7 separate regions of the Mus musculus genome follow, and all the other regions are reported to be linked to region 2. Evidence: microRNA targets listed by miRTarBase, many of them from high-throughput screens and not tested one by one. Region 2 holds a microRNA gene; each other region holds the end of a gene's coding sequence.
What was found. Region 2 holds the annotated microRNA mmu-miR-541-5p (AAGGGAUUCUGAUGUUGGUCACACU, at 1,091-1,115, opposite strand). A microRNA usually pairs through its seed, bases 2 to 8, with sites in the 3' UTR of a target mRNA and lowers its output. Matches are read on the target gene's strand: a 7mer-m8 pairs with bases 2 to 8, a 7mer-A1 pairs with bases 2 to 7 and ends in A, and an 8mer does both.

Region 1: miRTarBase lists Kif16b as a target of mmu-miR-541-5p. Seed matches in the 3' UTR shown: 8mer at 1,948-1,955 and 7mer-m8 at 1,739-1,745.
Region 3: miRTarBase lists Fam210a as a target of mmu-miR-541-5p. The part of its 3' UTR that is shown has no 7-base or 8-base seed match.
Region 4: miRTarBase lists Slc25a18 as a target of mmu-miR-541-5p. The part of its 3' UTR that is shown has no 7-base or 8-base seed match.
Region 5: miRTarBase lists Pgm2l1 as a target of mmu-miR-541-5p. The part of its 3' UTR that is shown has no 7-base or 8-base seed match.
Region 6: the mRNA of Arpp21 is a reported target of mmu-miR-541-5p. The part of its 3' UTR that is shown has no 7-base or 8-base seed match.
Region 7: the mRNA of Map4 is a reported target of mmu-miR-541-5p. Seed matches in the 3' UTR shown: 7mer-m8 at 2,238-2,244 and 8mer at 1,147-1,154.

Annotation. Positions count from the first base shown.
Region 1 is chr2:142,617,183-142,620,265 of GRCm38, forward strand. Kif16b (kinesin family member 16B) reads right to left here. Exons shown (of 26, transcript NM_001081133.2): 26 at 1,163-2,734. The coding sequence ends at 2,576. Among named protein-coding and RNA genes, the nearest start is that of Kif16b, 280 kb to the right of the region's middle.
Region 2 is chr12:109,740,454-109,743,536 of GRCm38, reverse strand. It overlaps Mir541 (microRNA 541), which reads right to left and starts at 1,128; the gene lies at 1,039-1,128. Mirg (miRNA containing gene) reads right to left here. Exons shown (of 8, transcript NR_028265.1): 3 at 1,722-1,847; 4 at 1,247-1,475; 5 at 119-180. Mir377 (microRNA 377) reads right to left here and starts at 3,027; the gene lies at 2,960-3,027. Mir409 (microRNA 409) reads right to left here and starts at 379; the gene lies at 301-379. It also overlaps Mir412 and Mir369.
Region 3 is chr18:68,266,133-68,269,215 of GRCm38, reverse strand. Fam210a (family with sequence similarity 210, member A) reads left to right here. Exons shown (of 4, transcript NM_153794.4): 4 at 264-3,083. The coding sequence ends at 497. Among named protein-coding and RNA genes, the nearest start is that of Mir7219, 6.7 kb to the right of the region's middle.
Region 4 is chr6:120,793,342-120,796,413 of GRCm38, forward strand. It overlaps Slc25a18 (solute carrier family 25 (mitochondrial carrier), member 18), which reads left to right. Exons shown (of 10, transcript NM_001081048.2): 10 at 161-641. The coding sequence ends at 302. It overlaps Atp6v1e1 (ATPase, H+ transporting, lysosomal V1 subunit E1), which reads right to left. Exons shown (of 9, transcript NM_007510.3): 9 at 1,903-2,423. The coding sequence ends at 2,361. Among named protein-coding and RNA genes, the nearest start is that of Slc25a18, 21 kb to the left of the region's middle.
Region 5 is chr7:100,271,797-100,274,867 of GRCm38, forward strand. Pgm2l1 (phosphoglucomutase 2-like 1) reads left to right here. Exons shown (of 14, transcript NM_027629.3): 14 at 531-3,071. The coding sequence ends at 633. Among named protein-coding and RNA genes, the nearest start is that of P4ha3, 12 kb to the right of the region's middle.
Region 6 is chr9:112,062,867-112,065,949 of GRCm38, forward strand. It overlaps Arpp21 (cyclic AMP-regulated phosphoprotein, 21), which reads right to left. Exons shown (of 21, transcript NM_001362020.1): 21 at 2,225-3,083. The coding sequence ends at 2,899. Among named protein-coding and RNA genes, the nearest start is that of Gm51694, 23 kb to the right of the region's middle.
Region 7 is chr9:110,081,521-110,084,582 of GRCm38, reverse strand. Map4 (microtubule-associated protein 4) reads right to left here. Exons shown (of 19, transcript NM_001205330.1): 18 at 2,973-3,062; 19 at 629-2,848. The coding sequence ends at 2,841. Dhx30 (DEAH (Asp-Glu-Ala-His) box polypeptide 30) reads left to right here. Exons shown (of 23, transcript NM_001252682.1): 23 at 1-264. The coding sequence ends at 190. Among named protein-coding and RNA genes, the nearest start is that of Dhx30, 35 kb to the left of the region's middle.

The sequences.
Region 1 (3,083 bases), not on the chromosome of region 2:
GCCCAGATCCTGATAGAGCCTGTGTAGCTGATCAGAGGCCAGGCTGAGCTACTTTTTTTTTTTTTAACATAAAAATGTTAAATTTCTACACAAAAATTTAGATCTAAAATGATCTGAGATCCAGGAATCCTGTTTAAGCATTTCTATATCATGATGAGAGACTCTTGTAGGCTGCAGTCACTAGGAGTTGACATGACTACTGTTCTGTTCCTATTCAACGTCAGGGTTGAATCTGAACTTCATAATGAGAGGGCAAGGTCTGTGTGGGAGCCCAATGGAAGGTAACTGTACTGTGATTTTTAAACAAGACAGAGGAGTATTTATTTTGTAAACAATGTCTAGGAAGGCATGCCACCTACTTTAAAACAGAAGTCCCCCAGATTTGTCCAAGTAACAACAAAGTGTAAGAGGATGACTTGTCAGTCTGAATTGTGACAGTGGCCACTTGGTATCCAGGATGCTTGAAAGCACAATGATGCATACATACTTGTTAATTAAATTTCTTTTACTTCTTTAAATTAGTTCAAGCTGCCCAGGCTTCCGTTTTGTCAGCTCAGACCTATCATCTCTCCTATTGTTAGCTCAAGAGGAACTCCATGATTCCTGTACATGGAGGTCTTCAGCTGGACCAACCGGAATAATTAACCCCCTGCTGTAACCAGAGGTCCAAGCGGGAGCTAGAATCATCTCAGAGAATAGCTTTGTTTTCAGATGGGGCCAAGGTCTGGGTGGATGGAGTGACTGGTCCAGGCCTTTGCTGGCTTTAGCCAGAGCTAGTCAATACTAGGGCTCTGAGCACTACCATGCATTTGATACAAGGAAGATCTCCTTGTGACTGATCATCACAAATACACTCTTTACTCTTGCCAAATAGCACACGTATAATTTTAACAAAATGCTCACCAAGAGCCCACCTTTCAATATAGGCCCCAGAGGGTGAGAGACATATTAATTATCTGGTCAGTTGAAAAAAAAAATTTACTCAAGCCAATGAGGGATAGTTTTCAGCACTTGAACTTCTTTTAAATAAATGACCCATGGTTAATTTATCATCTCCCAGTTTTTATCCTTTAATCTTTAGTTTTAAATTCTTGATAGCAATTGCTATGAAACCTAGGCCTATAATCGAGACTGGAGAGAGAAGCATACACTTCTGAGGCAATTAAATAAAGAGTCCGTTTTATTTTTTCATGCTAAGCTATGATATTTAATTAATTGAATATTAGTCTCCTCCTTATAGGGCTAGCTGCATCTTCCAACATTCTTGTGAGCTTGGAGAGATCTGCTGTGCGGGCATGTTCTAGAAGACTGAATGCAAGCATGTTTTGTTATCCATTCATTTGTGACTTCAATCATAACTGCATTTTCTGCAACATAAATGCTAAATTGTACAATATGCCTCTTTCTAAGCATATCAGGTCAATTGTTAAACAGACCAGTAGAAATGATCATATTACAAACTTAAACTGAACTACAGGGTATAGCACATGACTTCATTTAATATTGATAGCAGCTCAATTTAACAGTTGAAAAAGCAAACACCTTTAATAAATTTGGTGTGAATGATCATATAGCCTGATATACTATTGTACAGGAGTGTATACATATAAATCTATATGTTGAATTATGTACATTTCAATATATACCACAGATTTTTCCTACTCACAATTTTCTTTTGATAAAGGAAGCAGTTTCACTGTACACGATGTGAAATGCTACATTATGTCCTGAGTAATTGAGGGATTATTAATAAACTACTGAAAATTCTCTCTCTCTTTTTAGTTAATGATCTTGAAGGTTCTGTACTAAAACATGGACAAAGGATATTTAAAAGATTGCATCCAGCTTTGCACTTGTTTTATGCAGAAAAAGCTAAAAAATGAACAACAGCCTTTGAGGTTTGGGAAAATGCCCTCAAATAGTGAAGGTTAAACAATGTCTTATTTGTAGGGATTTCTGCAAGTTTCTGCAATGTTGCCTACATCCAATTTGTCAGGCATGGAAGACTCTTCTCATGATTGGCCTACAGATCCTTTTTACTGAACAGGACATTCTATGTAAACGTCAGTATTTAGATATTATTAAATCCAAATCCAAATGAACAAAACAATATGACATAACTTAAAACATCTTTGAAACCTAGCCAGCCACATGGAAGAAGTATAAAAAAAAAAGCATATTTTGGTGAAAAAGGAAACCAGATGAAAGTCACTTAAGGGTGGTCTGGTAAGCCACCCACAATGGGAAGTCCCAAGTTGGCTTGGCTCTAGGAGTCCCTAGATAAGCAAGCCACACATCCATCCTGCCACAGGGGATTGACTTGCTGTACTATGGGAAAGGCCACGTTCAAGTGCAGAGGTACAGTAACAACTGTCAATCAGAGTTGCCCTTGGCAGGCAAGCACCCACTCCCAAACTCAGGCACTAGATATGGTGTGAGAGGTGGTCTGGGCTGGCTGCTGCATGTTGCCACAACTGGAGGAGGCAAGCTGGAATCCTGGTGCAGGAGTCCACTCTGCATCAGAGTCTATTTGATGAGAAGGCACTGTGTTGGTGGTTCCTTGGTCGCCACAGCTCTACCCTGTCCCATGGCTGCTGTAGTCAAAAACTCCTTTCTTGAAGAATGGTGAGAATTCACAAATGGTGTGCTTGGACAGGGTCAGTCCCACTTTGTTGATGTGAAGGGGAGATGTCTCGGACTGGAGCATCACACTGAAAAACTCCCTGAGGTATTTCTGAGAAGAGACAAGAATGAAGATTATGGTCAAGACAGTGCTACAGTCAAGGAGGGGAGAGAAACTCTCCTGTGTACCCCTGGCATGTATAAACACTTACTTCATCAATACCACCAAGGAGAGAATGCTCCAGAGGTCCTTGACCTCCTGGGCTACTGTCAGCCTGTGCAGAGTAAACAGAGCAGTGACATCCAAGCCCACAGTAGGAATTTCTTTGGCTCAGGTCTCTAATCCACAGAAATGTCACCTGATGTCCATCTACTCAGTGCCATGAGGAATGCCAGTCATGCTAACCCTGGGCATTTTCCCTATGGCAACTTTACCTTACTTAAAATGTCATTGTCCTCTA
Region 2 (3,083 bases):
CAGGGGCTGCAACTCCAAGAGCTTCTCCAAGCTGAGCGTTGATACTGAGAAAAGATCAACCATGTATTATTCGAAGTCAGCCAAGCGAATATAACACGGTCGATCTCCCTTCAAGTACCAGCAGAGGTGTTGAGCTGAGGCTGTGACATCCTGGGCGCAGGCTGCAGCGGGCACCGACGGCTAGTGGACCAGGTGAAGTACATTAGAAACAATTACTTTCCAGCTGGTCGACCATCCGTCCCATACCCCAGAGCGAGATGAGTCCATGGTCTTCCCTGAGGTGGCCTCCCTGGAGGGATTTGATACCGAAAAGGGGTTCACCGAGCAACATTCGTCCTCCAGATGCAAAGTTGCTCGGGTAACCTCTCTCCGAGTACCACGGAGAGGCTCGGATGCTCAGAACGAGGCCGATGGCTGAGTTTCCAGAAGAACCATCCTGGAGCCCCTCAGAGATTATAACTCCCCATTCAGTGAGGAGCCACCCTCCACCACGTGAAAGCAATTATTCCATCACCTCCCCAGTGCAATCTACCACCCTTTCACCTTCCAAGAATATCTAAAGCCTTCCCAGACAACCTTGAGACCCAGGTAGCGAGGAGCTGACTCGGGGCAGAAGTGGGTGCAGAACTCTGCTTACTCTATCTCTCCTTTGTAAGCTGGAGATAGGGAGATGCTGAGACCCTGCGCATATACCACACCACCCTCCCAGAGACGATGCCTTCCAGAAGCGAGGAGGCAATGACTGCATCATCCAGAGATGCTCCTCCTTGGGCCCACCCAACCACTGCAGCCCCACGACCCTGGCATCCCCGCCCTGTCACCTGCCCCCTCCCCCCACGGTGATGTCATAGCAAGAACTGCTTGACCATCCAGTCCTATAAACCAAGCAAGTAATGCTTCAAAGATAAACATGGAGGGAGGAGAGAAAGAACAGCGGAAGGAGATCCCGCAGGGTCCCCTTGTGCCAGTGTGTATGGCTGCCCCGCACGAGCACGCCAGGGAGGGCTCTCCAGTAAGGGTCAGGATCCATTGACTTAGGCCATAAGCAGAGTATGGATTCTGTGTTCGCCACTCATTTTAAAACTCTTGGAGTGTGACCAACATCAGAATCCCTTCTCTGATTTTGGCAAGAGTTCACACAGGCTTCTAGCCTTGCTGCAGGGCAGCAAGAGACTGGTCACATGCAGTGTGTCATACGGGGAAAAGACGCCACGGGCAGCTTCATGTAGGTGTTCTGGAAACTGACCTGTGGGACAGAGGCTCTTTCCCCAGCTGGCATCACCTCCTGGAAATGCTCCTAAGAGGCACACAATGGCGATGATGGTGGCTAACGGTAGCTACAAGATCCAGTCAACAGTATGGGGAGGGAAGCTTGTCCAGGTTCTTCCTCCAAGCACTTGTCCTGGAGAGAGCTCCAGCCACTGACCAGTTCCAAGACAATGATGTAGCCTCTGGAGTCCTTTGAGGTAAAGATCCTTTTGGAAAGAGAGCCACCATGAAACCTGGTGCTCATCACACCCCAGATAGTATATTAGACCCTGGATACATCCACTCTAAAATGACCTCCCGTACGGGCCTAGCCCTTCAGCACCAACAATGGGTACGTCTTTAAGCCTAGCCCTGGGAGCTGGCAACATGGAAACCCAAGGAAGGGCAGGCCCTAGAATGTTCCAGGTACCAACTGCTCGGCAAGAGCAGACTCCCCAGAACCAGTGTCTTACCCGGAATGTTTCATGAGGATCGAGGAAAGTGAAGAAGACTGCTCAGTGGGCACGTGCTCTGGCACTGGTACCCAGTCACATCCTCCAGGTGACACCCGCCAGCTTCTGAATACTCCATGAAGCTCTCTGTAAAGGTTTGGGATGGGAAAATAAAGTTTAGCCACATTAAAAAAAAAAACCCACATGGTGACCAGTCCTTCTTATCACCCCACTAGCTCTAGTCTATATCCATAGATTTCCCCATCTCAAACACCACACCCACATTGATTTTCATAAAAAAACATGCATTTCTTTCCTTTTTTTTTTTTTAAAGTAAATTCCATTAAACTAATCCAATTCCCTGTTTAGCTTCCTTGACTGTGCTGTTGGGCCATTTTCATTTCTTTTATTTCCCTTGTTATTTCCTCAAATCATTTTCATTAGGATCAATTCTTTCCCATTTAAAAATCTGAACGAAGATTTGATTCCTCAATGTGCGTTCATCTACCACAAATATTACTGCTCATAGCATCCGCCACTACTGAAGCTGCCCCTTGCGGCTGCCATGTCTACAGAGTACTGTTTCCCCAGGTCAAATGTCGCAGCTCAAATGTTGTCAAGAAAATTGGATTCTTCTGCCAATTTGTAGTCAATTGAACACATTTTCCTCCAAGCTATTCTGGTAGTTTGTGGTGTTATTTTGTGATTATTTTATCACTATTATTTAATGTAAACGGGATGAAATGCTGGTCGCCTCTATTCATTTCCTAACCCATCCAAAAATGGAGAACAAGGTTTGGTGAGCGATGAGGACGAAAGAGAAACAGACAGAGGTGTGTTGAGGGGGTGGGGTGGGAGGGGGGAAAAACAGATGGTATGTGAGCACTCCTGACCCAGTGAGTTGAGGAGAGGAAGGGGGTGGGGAGGGAAGGCTGCCATTGTCCTTGACACTGTCAAAGGACAGAGTTCATTTTGTCAAGGTATCTTCAGAGTAGAGATAGAACAGCGAGTGTGTCTGCAACTAGGGGGGCTAGGTGCTGGTGTGACAAAGAGGATTCAGGCTGAGAAGAGTCAGGGAGTAGATATTGGCATCTCTCCATTGGTTCCTGGGACTACATGTCTGGTCACGTGGCGTTCTGAGCCACACCCCTTCCTGACCATCCCCATATCCACACCTTCCATTCTAGCACATGACATTTGCAGAGACCCCAGAACTTTGTAACGTGTCCCCAATGCCACCCCAAGCAGGCTTTGATACTCAAACAAAAGTTGCCTTTGTGTGATTCAACATCAATAAAGCGAATTCACCAAGGGCAACCTCTGCTCAAGAATCAAACGTCAGCACAGGCCGAGAGTTGAGCAGGGCGCCTCTTCCCCAGGCAG
Region 3 (3,083 bases), not on the chromosome of region 2:
TGCAGAGACCTAGGGCACACACAGGTCAGTAAGGGTCAGTGCAGCTGTCTGTGATAACCCTGAAATCTGAAATGCTATCGTCTGAGGACAGACATTTTAAAATGTCTGCAGGAAAAGTATTCTATCTTAGAAAGACACTATAGGGTGGTATACTCACCTCCAACAGTAGTCTGTGCTGAATCTTACCAAGAACGTAAACTTCAACGTCATTTTATTTAGTCCTAATCAGATGTTGATCCCGTTTGCTTTTCTTTTCCCTTAAGATCGCAACGCCTGCCCGCTACACCGTGACCTTGGGAGGAACCTCCTTTACCGTGAAGTATTTGCGAAGTCACGGCTACATGTCAACCCCACCGCCTGTCAAGGAGTACTTGCAGGGCAGAATGGAAGAGACGAAGGAGCTCATCACAGAGAAAATGGAGGAGACAAAGGACAGACTCACTGAGAAGTTACAAGAAACCAAAGGAAAAGTGTCCTTTAAGAAAAAAGTGGAATGAGGGTGCCTTATTACAGAAAAGCCTACACTATCCCTCGGTAGACTCTGGGCAAAGAACATGTTTCTGATTTTTTTTTTTTTCTTTTTTTGGTTACTTGCCTAAATGTATTCATTCTCTGCGGGTTAAAGAACAAAGATAGGTTTGGGGGGTTTTTTTGTTTTTTAATTTTTGTTCTTTTAAGTTAAATAACAATAGGGAGGAAAATCAATGTTTTTCAAAATGAGGAAATGAACCCAGCATACAGCATTTATATGAGATGCAGCAATAAGCAGTAGTTGATGTCCTAGAAATCAGAGTTCTTTTTGCTTCGTTTCTCTGACCCCTGCAGTAAGGCTGTGCTGGGCAGTCCACTCCCAGAGGAACATTCACTAAGGACCCAGTCCTGTGGGAATGAATTTACACCATTGAAGACTCTGGATGGAGAGACGAGAGACACTCCCTACCACTTACCAAGTAGACCTTATTTCAAGAAGGTCATGTTAAAGGAATCAGTCTTACATTTATAAATAATATATATTGGCTATGTAATGAAATGGATCTTTTAAAGTGGTTTTTACCTGGAGCTTGTCAACTTACAGTTTTTAAAGCCTATTCCTTCTCAGTCTTGACTGTGCTTGGTGGATGGTCAAGTGGACGGTCAGACGTTCTTATAACCTGTGTCTTCTCCAACTAATCCTTGGAGAATCATGGAAGTTTTACACTCTTCATTGTTGCCATCACATACATCAGCAAGTCAGGTTCACTGTTTAACTGCATCAAGCTTTGCAAGACCGCTGCTGATTTTGGTAGGAGCAAAAGTCTGTAACGGAATGTGGAGGAGATGGATGCTCGAGGGTGGTACTCGTAGACAACAGGTGGGAGGAGCACCGTGTGGCTCATTGGTTTCTAAGACCTCTCCTGCTGCTGCTTCAACTCCTTCAGGATTTCGGTCTTTTATCCCTGGTCAAAACAGGCCTGTCTGTCACAGATACCATTAGTGTTGTGGCTCAGGTTTCTCATTGGAAGGGGAAATTACTGCTTAAATATTCTGCTTGATTTTTTATATATATATATATAGCAAAAAGCTCACTGCTTGTAATTCAACGACTGTCAAGCAAGTCCGATGACTGCAGAGTGTCTTTCTGTTTGTGTGTCTTTCCTTCAGGTCTAACCCTTGATTTGACACTGGGGCAAGAAATGCGTCTTTAGAGAGCATTGGCTTTGACTTAGCATCAGGAGAATGTCAGAGCCCATGCCACATTGCTATCCCATTCAGTCCCTGCTTTGTGTCAGACTTTATGTCAAATGCTTAATTTAGCCAAATTTAGGAAATGGAGGAATAACTTCACACTTGAGGCACTCAGTCATTATATTGAAACACCATTGAAGTAAAAATGCTTTGGTTGAAGTCTTTCTGGGTTGGAAGAATTACAGAGGGGAATTTGTCCTGTTCTTTTGTTTGTTGGCAGCCTGATTAATCTGAGGTAGAGGTCACTGAGTGAACTGCTATAAACAGACGGCACACTTTCAAATACAATATAAACATGGCAGCACACTGGAGCCTGCTTATTAAATAGTCAGGTTCTAAATGCTGGTGTGTTCACATGTTCCCTTTGAAGCCACCAAGAATGCTATGCCAACATGTGGTGGTACATGGAATTCTTTCTTCTAAAACCTTTTATCTGTCGTAGTGCATAACTGGAGAGTTCTTAAGACATTGCTAATAATCATGAGACTGCAACTTTCTTGTCCTAAGTCAGTACCTTCTGCCTAGTCCATTGTAGTCTTATCACCATCCAGTTTTATGTCTGGGTCATGTGTACCCAGTTAAAGCAGATGAGGAAATGCTGTGTGTGCTTTAAATCTGATAAAAATATTTCTAATGATCTGAGAAGTTACATTGTTACAATTTGACATCAGTTGTGTCATAAAAATGCTGTTGCCAATGTATTATCTTTAAGGCAAGAAACAGCTTATAGGCAAACCTGTAATATGTTGATAGCAGACAACAGTAACATTTCAACTTAAATTATCAAAATGTATAATATAGATAGATTTTTGTATATGCTGAACTGCATTTTATTTAAAGTGGATCTTGCATTTCTCTAAGCTGCAAGGGAAGCCGGACCGCCATGCCTGGTGAGCATATCCATCCTTTGAAAGATACACTCATGTCCTAAACGGAGCTGTGACTGAGATTTAGTGTTTTCAATATGAACAAAAAGCATTTGCCTAGCAAATTAAGTTCAAATGAAGGCTTAGTCTTTTGAAGAATAAAGCATAAAACCAGCCTTTTAGAATATCACATCATTATTGAGAGCCTTTTGTGCAAAATGGGGTGCTGTTCAGTTTCACCAAAGGGAAAAGATGTATGTTGGGATTAGCTGCCTCCCACAGTGGAACAATAAAACTAAGCCTTCCAGTATATTCCCCCGAGTTCTCCATTGTAAATCCTCCTCCATCATCTTTACAGAGGAAAGAGCTACGTTCTTTATGCTCAGGGGAAAGAGCTGGTCAGTTCCTTGTTTCTGTGGTCTTCAACCATGGTTCTGGGAATTTTAAACATCTTTATACTTTGGGCAGAAGAGGTGTTTGAAGAAAAGGAGG
Region 4 (3,072 bases), not on the chromosome of region 2:
AGCTTGTAATCCTATAAGCCTAGCACTCAGGAGATTGAGGGTAGCCCAGGGAGAGCCTGGGCTACACCTAGAGACCTTCTCCCCAAATCCAACAACAGAAAGTCCTGAGTAAATGTGTGCGTAGCCTTCACCTACCAAGCTCTCCTTTCTTCCTTCACAGGAAGCTCTGGACACAGGAGGGGCCAGCAGCCTTCATGAAAGGAGCAGGCTGCCGTGCCCTGGTCATAGCCCCCCTCTTTGGGATCGCCCAGGGCGTCTACTTCATTGGCATCGGAGAGCGCATCTTGAAGTGCTTTGAGTAATCTATGTGTCACTTCTTGCTGTCACCTCTGGCCCTAGGGAACTAGGTGGCACTGCTGGAAGTATAAGATGCTGGCTCTGACGTACGTGGTCTCTAACCTGTAGTGCTACCTCAGAAGAAATGACCCATTTTACTAAGCGAGTAGAGCCTTCATCTCCTTTATGAAAACTAAACTTTCTGAACCAGAGATGTTCGGAAGCCCCAACCTCTTATGTACTATGGCAGGACCGTGTGCAGTAAGACAGAAGGGCTCTTCCACACTAACATCCCCACTGCAGGCAAGTGTGGCACAGAATCGTCCTGTGAGGGTTTAGCGTCAATCCTAACCTTGCCGCCCTAACAGATCAGAAGTGCACCTGTGCCCTCGCGGGCATCAGCAATAGTCTGAGAGCCTGAATGAACATTCTGGCCACCTCAGCAGCGGTCCTGCCCCAGATACTCACCCTGAAGTATGGGCCCAGATCCCTTCCAATAGATGCTTGTGGGACATGATCTGAAATAAAGCTGGTTAAATCCTTGTCCTGTAATCAGCATAGCAGATGACTGTCATTCTGCAGAGTCAAGCTGTGCCTTCTTGGGCCCCACAGACAGTTCATTACTGTCTTCCAACTGCTGTTCTAGAGTGGAGAGTGGTTGGGGGGAAATTGTACACTGAAAGAGTTCAGCTTTTAAAAAATAATTATTTACTAATTTACATGTCTGTGTATCTGTAACCCCCAAGAGAGCATTGGACCTCCTAAAGCTGTGTTACAGGTGGTAGTGAGCTGCCAGACACGGCACTAAGAACTGAATTCAGGTCCTCCGGAAGAGCAGCAGGTGCTGGCTCCAGTTCCTACCCTTGACTCTCACCTCTTTCTACCTTTCATGGCCATGTCAACACCAAGAAACCCAATCTCATGGCCCTCAATTCATTTCTCCGAAGCCACACAAATGATGTTAGGCCCTAAGAAAACAGGAATGAGAGCTGGGTACACAGGTCAGTTAGCAAAGGATTCCACCCCCAACACCATGGTGGCCCGTGCCTATAGTCCCAGTCCTTAGTAGCTGAGGACGGGAGGATAGGAAACATGAAGGTCATAACATCAGTGAGCACATTCTAGGCCAGCCTACACTGTATGCAACCCTGCCAAACTACAAAACTGAAAAGAACCTCCATTAGTCCCACCTAACGTAAAACTTGGGTCTGGGGGAGTACGCCGATGTACATGCAGATAATCCATCTGAAAACGGCCTTATTCTCTCTAAGACAAGATAGGTAAAACCCCAAAGATGCACAGGCCACAGGTTGCGGGGCATGGCTCAGCGGTGCAGCATCTGCTTCCCTATGAGGCTCTGGCACCCACTGCTAACACACACACACACACACACACACACACACACACACACACACACACACACACAAAGCTGTCCAGCCTCCAGGACAGGCAGGTTAATGTACGGCAGGGATTTGGGATAGCTCCTCTCTGGATCTTCCTGTTGCCCAGGCTGCCCCCAAACAATCCTCCCACCACAGCTAGGGCTACAGGTGTGGGCTACCGTGCCCAGTGGAACTTACTCTCAAATCACAAACTCGGTGCCTTACATAAGGAACAACAACTAAATCCACATAAGCCCTCTGTTTTAATAAATAAAGAATATTTGTGGCTTAGATTTTAAATCACATTTACAGAGAAGGAAGACTAGACCTAAACAGTAACAGCGAAGGTAGTGTTCCTGGAGGAATGTGAGTCCCACATGCACTTTATGCCCAAAGAGCAGGGACAGCATGCACAACTCACTCTAGACTAGAGCAGGACAGGGAAAGAATGGGTCCTGGGTGAGGCCGTGCAGCACATCTGACCCTCCCGTCCTGCTGCAAACCCAGTGAACAGCTGTGGCCTCAGATGAGCTGGGGCTGGGTTCTTGCCCACACCAAGTGGCCCTGCTGTTGACACTGAGCCGAGGGCATTAGCTGTAGAGGGTGTCCACTGATTACCAGTATTAGAACAGAAAGAGGAAGCCACACAGATAATCTGCTTCTCCAGGAGAACAGCCGTGGGGGAACTGCTCCTCCTGAAGCTCAGTCCAGAAACTTCCTATTGGCATTTGCACCAAACAAGGCTCCACGGACTTCTGGCATCATCTGTAAAGAAGTCAGTAAATCAGGACCTCAGTCAGGGAAGTTGCAGACAATATTAACACCATGTGGGGAAAGGACATTGCTAAGCACATCAGACCTGTCCTATCTGCTGCACTGTGCCAGACAGTTAAGCAGTCAGACTATGCTCACAAAAGGGGAAAGACCTGAAGTCATTACTGTACTCAGTCTGTGACACTGAGTGTGTGAACCCCTTCCAGGACTGGCTGCAAAGGGCACTTAGATGGAGTCTGTTGATGTCTTGACAGAGAGTTACAAGGATGAGTGTGACCCCTAAGAGTAACCACATTGGCTTTTGTGGGGTCTCAGGCACTCCAATGGTCTGGAAGTTTGATAAAAGCCAGCATTGCTCAGGATCTTGTGAAAGTAGTTCCCACTCTGGCAGAAGGGATATAGGTTGTGTGTCAAAGCCCCTGCAGGCCTCCAGGCTCCCTCAGTATCCCAAGTAGCTGTTACACATTTCAAACCCACACTGCCATCCTAGCCTTTCTCAGCTCCCAGACAGCCATCTGTTCCCTTCTGCCCCACTTTTCTCACAGATCTCTTCTGTCCTCCCACACTGTACAGTCTCCCTTGATAGCTCCATGGGAACTTCTCACCCACTGTGCTAGCCCTCACCATGTCCAGTCTACGT
Region 5 (3,071 bases), not on the chromosome of region 2:
TGATTTTTTAAAATAAATACCTTATTCGTTTTCTTCTTTTTTTAAGACAAGCTCTCACTATAGAGCCCTGGCTGTCCTCACAATCACAGAGATCACCTGCCTCTGCCTCCCCAGTGAGTGCCAGGACTGCTTTCTGATACCTGAAAGATATTTGTATTGTTCAATGTCTTCTGTACTGAATGTCCTTCAGTATCTCAGAAAGCCATTTTTAATAATACGTGCTATTGGCATTCTGAGCTATTAAATTGATTAACCTAGGAAAATTCATTGGCCACTGTGAACTCACACTCTATCATGGCCGGAAGACATCCGAGTAATGCAGTCCAGTGTTAGCTTGTGACTGTTGTTTTGTGTATGAATTTTTAAAGAGTCTTCTTTGTTTTATTTCAACTGGGTGAATTTCTCTTTTGTTTGCCGATTATTTAGTTGTCCTGTCAGATATGTGCCTTCCTTAAAAGTGGAAATGATTTAAATAAATGTTAAGGCTATAAAAATAAGAATTTTAACTGTTTTTGTCTTTTTTTCCTCAGTGACACTACCTTCCTGGAAGAAGAATTAAAGAAACTCATTGACGCGCTGATAGAGAATTTTCTTGAGCCCAGTAAGAACGCACTGGTCTGGCGCTCTGTGTAGGGCACATCAGTACGTTATGACTCTGCACTGACATATGGAACGAAACCTTCAAGAACTCCACTCAGTGAACCTTGTGTTAGAATTCTCTCATCTGCCAAGTTATCTTTTCCCTTTTCTTTCCTGTGTTCAGCTGGCTAAATAGATTATATACATTTGAAATGAAAATATTTGGATATGAGTCAAATATTTTCATAATCTTAAGTGACAGTCATTACAATGAAAGTGTTCCAGTGGCACGCTGTTCTTCCTGTATCACAAACAGTACAAAAGTGAGTTTTCATATTGAACTGTGCTTAAGCTTAGTTACGTATCTTGTAATTGTGTATAGCATGGTTTAAAAGAAGTCAAACATTATATAACTATAGGGTTAGTTAAGGAAATTACTTCTTAAAGGTGTTTGTGTGTTTGTGGCTGGGAGTACTGTTCCTGCCTGTTTTTCAAATTAGAAACCCAGCTTGGTGGCATATTCCTGCCGTCACAGCCCTTAGGAGGCTGAGGCAGGAGGATCATTAGTAGGAGGATCATTAGTTAGTTTATGGCTAGCCTGGGCTGCACAGTAATTCTTTGTCTAGGAAGGGAGGGAGGGAGGGAGGGAGGGAGGGAGGGAGGGAGGAAGGAAGGAAGGAAGGAAGGAAGGAAGGAAGGAAGGAAGGAAGGAAGGAAGGAAGGAAAAAATGTTTATAGGTTATTTAGGTTTTCTGATTTAGGACAGATGTTACCGTCTGTGGTTTGGCACCAGTGTTTCGGGTGCCCTTGGTGTGGTGTATATTTACTGTATGTATTTAAGACGGATGTTTACTGAACATAAAACAGTAGTGGCAGCACTCCTCATGGCTTTATTCTTGTCAAATTCCTCAGTGCATTCTCAGGGTCTAGTGGGAACTGAAATGATGTTCCTGTGTTGAATATAACACAGTCCATTTTCAGATAGTTAAGGAAAATCTTCCAAACTATATAGGTGCTTCCTCTATAGGAAACAGATTTGTTCACTCTAAAGATGGTTGTAGAAAAAGGTCTTAATAAATTTTGGCTTAATGTAACTGTAGCTGAGTCTTCCTGCTAGGATTCAGTTATCATAACCTATAAGTGAAAAACTCTGTCCTATGGCATCAGCATGGCATTTATTTGGCAGTCTTTTTTAATTACATTTTTATAGCCAGATTTATTTATCTGATAAGGTAATGCTAATTTTAATAAAAAATGAAACATCAAGATATAAGTATTTTCTACAGCCACACTACCTTGATTCAATACCCAATCTCATTCTCATTATCTCAGAAGCTAAACAAGGCTAAGCACGGTGCTTGAATGGGAAATTTTAGGTATTATGAAACACTGAAACTGAAGTTAGAACTAAGGTCAATTTATTTTAGTATGCTCCATCAGGCTTTGGAATTTCTGATCATATAAATACGTTTCATCTTTTTCAATGCGAAACAGTTTTCAGGAAAGTCATTTGTGGTTGACTCTGTAGCCTTCTGAAAAGCCTAATGGAAAAATACTGTCTAAGCTTTCCAAATTATATATTTCCCCAAATAGTTTACAGAATACACACACTACAGTTATGATAACAGTAGCAAGGCCTTCAGGTATAATCATTTAAGAAAAGTTGCCTATAGGAGACAATACTGATGTTAGATGATTAGTTTCCTAAAAATAAATAATATAAAGCCTATACTGATTGGAATATTAATTAAACCATGGTGTGTTTTGTTGCAGCTTGAGGATAATTTTGGTTGAGCTTATATAATCCAAAGATAGGTTTTACATTATGTTGCCACTACTGCTCTGTGTTCCTTCCTTACTGTCTTAGAACTGGGTCCTACATTATATAGATGATAGCTAGTTAATGTTCAGTGCCATTTTCCTGTATGAGTTTATTTTAGAGGCTTTGTGCTAAAAAAAAAGTAGCATGTAGAATTTTTTGTTTTATTTTTAAAACATTTTGTTGGCTTTTAGGAGTGTAAATTGTAATTTAGGAAATAACATGTATTCTACGACGTGGTATAAAAAAACATGCCCATTCAGTTTTAGTGTCTGTGTCTCAGTGGCCCAAGGACAAAATGAAAACTAAAGCAATGTGACAGCCTGTTTATAACAAGAAAGCCACGCCATGATTGCTATTCACTTGTGAAGAGAATATCTTTGCTTCAGTGCTAAACATACAAGAAATAAGTCATCGTCACGTGACGTTACTGACATTTGAGCCCTTATCTTGAAAGGCTACATCCCAGCTGTGTATAAAGGTTCCCAGAGTGTGTAAGTTGAGGAGACCGTTTGATTCTTGTCTACATTCTTGAGTCTGTCTGAGCATGTTTAACATGAACATGACACAGTGGGTGCACAGGTGCCTAACAGGCTAAATTTAATAACAGCTCAAGATAGGCATGCCAGCCTGTGGGTCTCGACCTTGGAATGATAACTGCATTGTTTATCTC
Region 6 (3,083 bases), not on the chromosome of region 2:
ATATATAAGGCTTAAATCTACAGCACTTAAGTGGCTCAGCAATTCTAAGGCTCATAAAACAAAAAACAAAGTTCCCCAGAGTTCTATGGGGGAGGATAAGCATTCCAACTCATGTTTTGATTATTTGATTTTAGAATTACTGTCAAAGTCTAAAGCCTAAATAGAGAATTTTTTAAAGTGAATATTGGCTGGTGAGATAATCCAAAGGGTGCTTGCTGTCCAGGTGGCCATCCTGAGAACCCATAAGGTAGAAGGAGAAAACTGACTCCTGAAAATTGTACTATGATTTTCACACGTGCACCAGGGCATGTGTGCACATATGCATGCATGTGCGCGTGTGCACACACACACACACACACACACACACACGCACACACACTAAATAAATAAATAAATAAATAAATAAATAAATAAATGTAATTAGAGAATGAATACATATTGGCCAAGACCCTCTTTCCATTAGGGAAAGATCTTAGCTAAGGAAGTAAGTGTGCTGACATTCCTCAGTGTGGTTATTGGTTCAATGGCTCAATTAAAAGAAAAATTCTTATAATGCTTTTCATGGTCAGGGATTATGATGATGAAAAATTAAGTAGACCCAGATATGGGAAAATGGAGCAGACTTCACATGGAGCAGAGATAATTAGAATAGCACAAAAGCCCCCCTTGAAAGGAAGAAGAGGACGCCTGACAGAAAGAAATGATAATCTACTAAGCAGGGTTTTTAAGTGATTAACTCTATCCACAGCTAAACAACTGAAAACAAAAAATCCAGAGTAGGCAGTGTGAGCAAATGAAAACCGATGAGAATTTCCCTGACGCCATTCCCTTAACACATTTTTAGGGAGGAAATATAAACAACAGAGGAATTCTTATCTTGTGGTATTAAGATGAAAGCTCCGAGGTTTCATTCCCTCAAAGAGACATCTTCCCAAGGGCTAACCCTCCGAGTCCAGAGTTCAGTTATTAATTTTTAAATTTTGTCCTAACTCAGTTTTAACCATGGATGCCATAGGGAATTATACATCCGTCAGGGGATTGGATAGTCATAGGCTTTGCATATTTGCTTTGCAGATGTTCTAGCCTTTGTGATTAAATAGTTGCTATATACATTCTTTTTCAGTTACCAGGACAAATGCCAGTACCTTGGAGATGTTGGCTCACTGTCCAAACCCATAGTACATTGGAGTATGTGGCTCAGTATAGCAGGAGGAATCAGGCTCTGCCTTTTCTATATTAATAAGAAATTTATCTTTACTAGTCACATAGTTTAACTCCAGCAAAGACAGAAAAAGACTAGATGTAGAGTAGGTATTGGTATTAGCAACATTCAGAATTTCCTAGTAGATACAATATAGCTCTACACCTCCAATATTTTTTAAATTAAAATCAATGACACAGAGTTCAACTTATGTTCATGGCCCTTATGATGCTATCAAGATGAGGGGTTATTCTTGATACTAATATTTGCTTATAGAATCTCTCAGAGAGATGTTAGCCAACTCAAAATGCCTGAGAGCCACTTTTCCATATAGCAGCCGTGAGGGGACGCCAAGAAAGAACAACGTGGACACTAATAAGACACAATCATAGCGAATGTTCAGCCAAAATTGGATTTCTATATGATCCCTCCAAGGCACAGGGACCATCACGGGGGAAGGGATGGAAAGAATTTAAGAGAAGGCAGAAGAGCAAACTCTCTTGGAACACTATCTTCCAGGCCTGGTACAGAGTGGCCTGACTGAGCTCACAGCATCTTCAATTACCTACACAAAATGGAATCTATCAACATCCTGTCATGGGGAGGGGAGGTTTATGAATCCCTGCCCCTCTCTGAGGACTTATAGGTAGTTAATGGTTGATGGGGGATAGAGACACTTTCCCTCTAAGAGAGTAATTATACAAGTTCCTTTAAACTTAAAAAATCCCCTCTCCTTGCTTCTGTAAGAAGCCCTAGTGAAACTCATTGATTCAGAGCAAGTCAGTAAGAAACAGCCCTCCATGGGCTCCTGCCTCCAGGTTCCAGCCTTGTTTGAGTTTCGGTCCTAATCTCCATTGGTGATGAGCAACAATATTGAAGTGAAAGTCAAATAAACCCTCCCCTCCCCCCCCAAAAAAATCCTCATTGGTTCATTAAAGACAGACAGACAGACAGACAGACAGACAGACAGTGCATGGAAGAGTGGAGCTAACTGAGAAGAGGGAGGATATCAAGGAGAGTTTGAGGAGACATTGAGTTTTAATGTGGTCAAAATGTATTCTGTACAAGTATGGAAATGTCATTCTTAAAATTAACATCTATCTGCTAATGAAACCATTAACTAAATAGGTAAACAGCACATGGAAAGAGAGACGGAAACAAACTGGTGGTAAAAACATGACCTTCCTCCGTAAGGTCAAATAAGCTTTTATTTGGATTAAACACTACAATACCATATATATCCATTTAAAAAAGAAAACTCTATAGTGTATATAAATTATTCCTTCCATTCCTTAACTCTTTCCTTTTTCCATTACAGCTTTGGTACCGTGTGATTTAGTTTATATATATATTTTTAAATACTTTTAGCATCACAAACTCAACACGAAGTACAAAACTAATCCGAATCAGGGATATTGTAATCTACACAGTGGTATTCAGTGGTAGGAGAAAATCTTACCTTGATGAATTCATGTCACTAGCTAAGCTAGAAAGGCATACCTAGCAGACATGACGGAATTATGCACCATTAACCAGCTAATGTGTGTATTAGTCTTTGATTAGTTTGTACAGAATACCAGCAGCAATCGTTTGCACGTTGAGTGTATATGGAAGTCCTCAGCCAGTCGTCAGTCTCCTCTTCCTTTGAAGGCCATGAGTTAACATCTGATGAAGTGGACAGCAGGCAGCCTGAGCTCTCAGAACTTGACCTGCCAGCCTGCGTTGCTCACGTTCCCACAGTTTGTTCTGCAACTAGCGGACATGACAGGAACCGTGCTGGAGGGGCAGTGTGGACCCATCAACCTTAGGTTGTTCTGAGGGTTTGGCGGTGTGACGTTACAGTACACAGGCATTCCGGTGGCTGGGAGTGACCCTTGGCCTG
Region 7 (3,062 bases), not on the chromosome of region 2:
ACGAACTGTGCGGTTGCTAAGGGAGTTTCGTCGAGCCCTAGGACGGATGGTGGAGCGGAGCCTCCGCAGCGAGTTAGCTGCACTTCCTCTTAGTGTGCAGCAAGAACACGGGCAGCTGCTTGCACTGCTGGCAGAGTTGCTTCGAGGACCTTGTGGCAGCTTTGATATGCGCAAGACAGCTGATGACTGAGCCTCTCTTCCGCTGGGGCTATGTACAGAGTGCAAATGTTTATTTAAAATAAAGTTATATTTATCCCTTGTGAGTGCTGCTGTCCTCCCAAGGGCTCCTCTCAGGACTCTGGGCAGTGGCCCAAGTCCTACAGGCAGATGGGGCTTAAAACCTCTATCCTCAAGAGTGATCCACCAGAGCAGCCAACACATTCCAGCTAACTATCTGGTCAAGCCCAGCATTGTCACAGATGCTTCTAATGATACCCACAGCACAGACCGTGTCCTAATGGGTATGAATAGCAAGAGGCAAAGAGCACTGTTCTAGGCAGCCTTGATTTGTGTACATCCTGCCAGGAACTCCAGGCATTGATTTTGCCCTGGCCACAGCCATAAGGCAGGTGGGAGAGGAGCTGAAGGGGATAAGAACTAATAAGGACTAAGAGGACAGAAGCAACATAACATGGTGGGATGTCAGGCAGCTTTATTGTTTAAATCAGTACAACAATTACAGACATGGGTAATGGCTAAGCCATGAGCAAACTATAAAATACAGAAGGACCTTATTCCCAAACATTTTGAAGTATGCACATCACATGGCCTGTGGTCCCAAGCTGCTAGACCAGCCTTCTCAGGTTCTCTGGCTCGTGGGATCCTTCCAGGGAGCTACCTACAGAGCTTGGGTTACCTTCCTTTCTCTAATCCTTGGCCAATGGACTTGTTTCTTGTCAATTTCCTTAGCATCTTCAAGGCCCTAAGATCAACATCAAGGAGGGTAGCAAGTACCTGTATACGCTCAGTCATCACTACCCTGGTCCCCACTGTGTCCTTCCCAGCTCCGTGGGCCCCTATTGCTGCAAAATACAGACAATGCAGGCTCCAAGCTTAGTTCTGACAGCTTGGGAAGAAAGCCACTCCCCAGCTCAGGCAGTCTTTTTTCCACAGGTCCCAGCAATTCTTTGTGTGTGCTTAGAGAGCTAGGGATTCAGTGTCAAGATTATCACAAAGTAACTGCTACCTCATAAATGGAGAAGACCTTCAAGCCCAGGGATACCTTCCCTTGGCAGAGAGAGAGTAAAGACCTCTACCTCCTCAAACTGTACCCAAGCAAAGGCAGAGTCTGTTCGGAGGAGGGCCAAGGGGACCAAGTCTGGGCCAGCCTCCTGAGAGGCAAATCTGCCCAGCAGAAAATGCCCTATCAGAGGAGCCCTTAGACACTCCCAGGCCATTTCAATACAAACTTAGGTTTGAATCCTTTATTAGAAACCATGCAAACTTTAATACAAAAAATACAAGTGCAATAAGAATCTTGTGTTGATAAAATTCCCGGGATTTTCTCAACATTGCAACCATCCCATCCATGAGCAGACCACGCTGGGATGGCTGCACCACCATGGCTCCACCTCTCCCGCCACACCAGAAGACTGGATGGCCTCAGTCTCATGCATTTTAGTTTTAAATTTTCACACCTGATTCCCCACTGTTCACAAGCGTTCTGGACATTTCAGGCTCCCCTAGATATGAGGATTTGGGTGCTATGGCCTGTAGGTACAGGCCAGCGATTTTGACCTTCATTTCTGTTTCTCCAGCCCTGATTTTGTATCACACATTTAACCACCGCATTCCCAGGGAATGAGATAGATGCCAAAACCAGCCTCTTGGTTAGAAAAGCAGCATACACACAATACCAACACAATCAGCCACACTGACCCACCCTAGCTGTCTGACTTCACTTCTTCCTGCAGGGCCCAAGCTGCCCAGAGTAGGGCAACCCCCGCCAATATCTGACAGCCTCCTCAGTGGAGACTCGGGATCTCCTTCCCCACTTCCCTCACCACCTACCAAGAACTCTCATTTAGACATGGCTTCAGCCTGCAAACTACACCACCAGTTCATAGGTTATTGGGAGAGGAAAGAATAAAAAAGTGAGACAGCAGCTACTCAGGTACGATAAGTCGTGGGGACAAGGAGGACTGATCCTTGACTAACTTGAGGTGAGGCAGCAAAAGGGCCTGGTACCACCAAATGGTGGCTTCCACCCCGTGGGGTCAAGGAGTGGTTTAGGTTCCAGGGATTCAGTCGGTGCTGGTCTCCACGTGGAGTTCACCTTTACCAGTCCCTCCAGGTTGAGCCAGGGAAGAGAGGTTTGTCAGTTTCTTTTGGGTTTGGTCCAAAAAAACCAAACAGCCAAGGCTGGAATCCAGCTCCTCACCCCTAGATCCCACAGAGATCCCACTGGACTCCCGTCCCCGCCCAACTTTCTCCGTGGTGCAGTGGTGAAGTGGTGAGATAGTGAAGTTGGAGTTGGCCCAGAAAGGGGTGGAAGGAGGTGTAATGGCAGCGAGTGGGGCTGCTGCTGCCTTGAGCAAGCGAGGCAGGAGGGAGGGAGGCCTAAAGGGGCTGCCCAGCACCCAAGAGCTTACAAGTCTAGTAGACAGCCCGGGAAAAGGAGCCCAGGGCTCGAGACCCCAAGCTTGGGCCACCAGGGAAGTGGGGAGGCCGGGAGACAATGTCAGCCCCATGGTCGGTGCGGGCCCTGGCATTTGCCCGGAACGTCAGCCTGTAGGTCTCAATCTGCAGTGACACGTGAGGAGGGATGGGAGAGGGTAACAAGGGGGGGAGACAAGAGAGGGAACACAGGGGAGATGGAAGACGAGACCAGAATGTCATCATTAGATGCCTGGAAGATAAAAGGTTACTTTGTTAAAATTTAGGCCATACTCCAGTCATAAAACAAAGGAGCTTCAATTTTCAGCCAGTGACAGGGCCCCTGGCTGGCCCTTAGGCCAAGCCCAGCCACTTACTTGTCTCCTGGATCTGGCTGTCCAAGGTCTGGGGCTCCCTTTGGTCACCACCCCCTGACAGGGTGGTGTGGCCACTGAGGCCACTGGCTG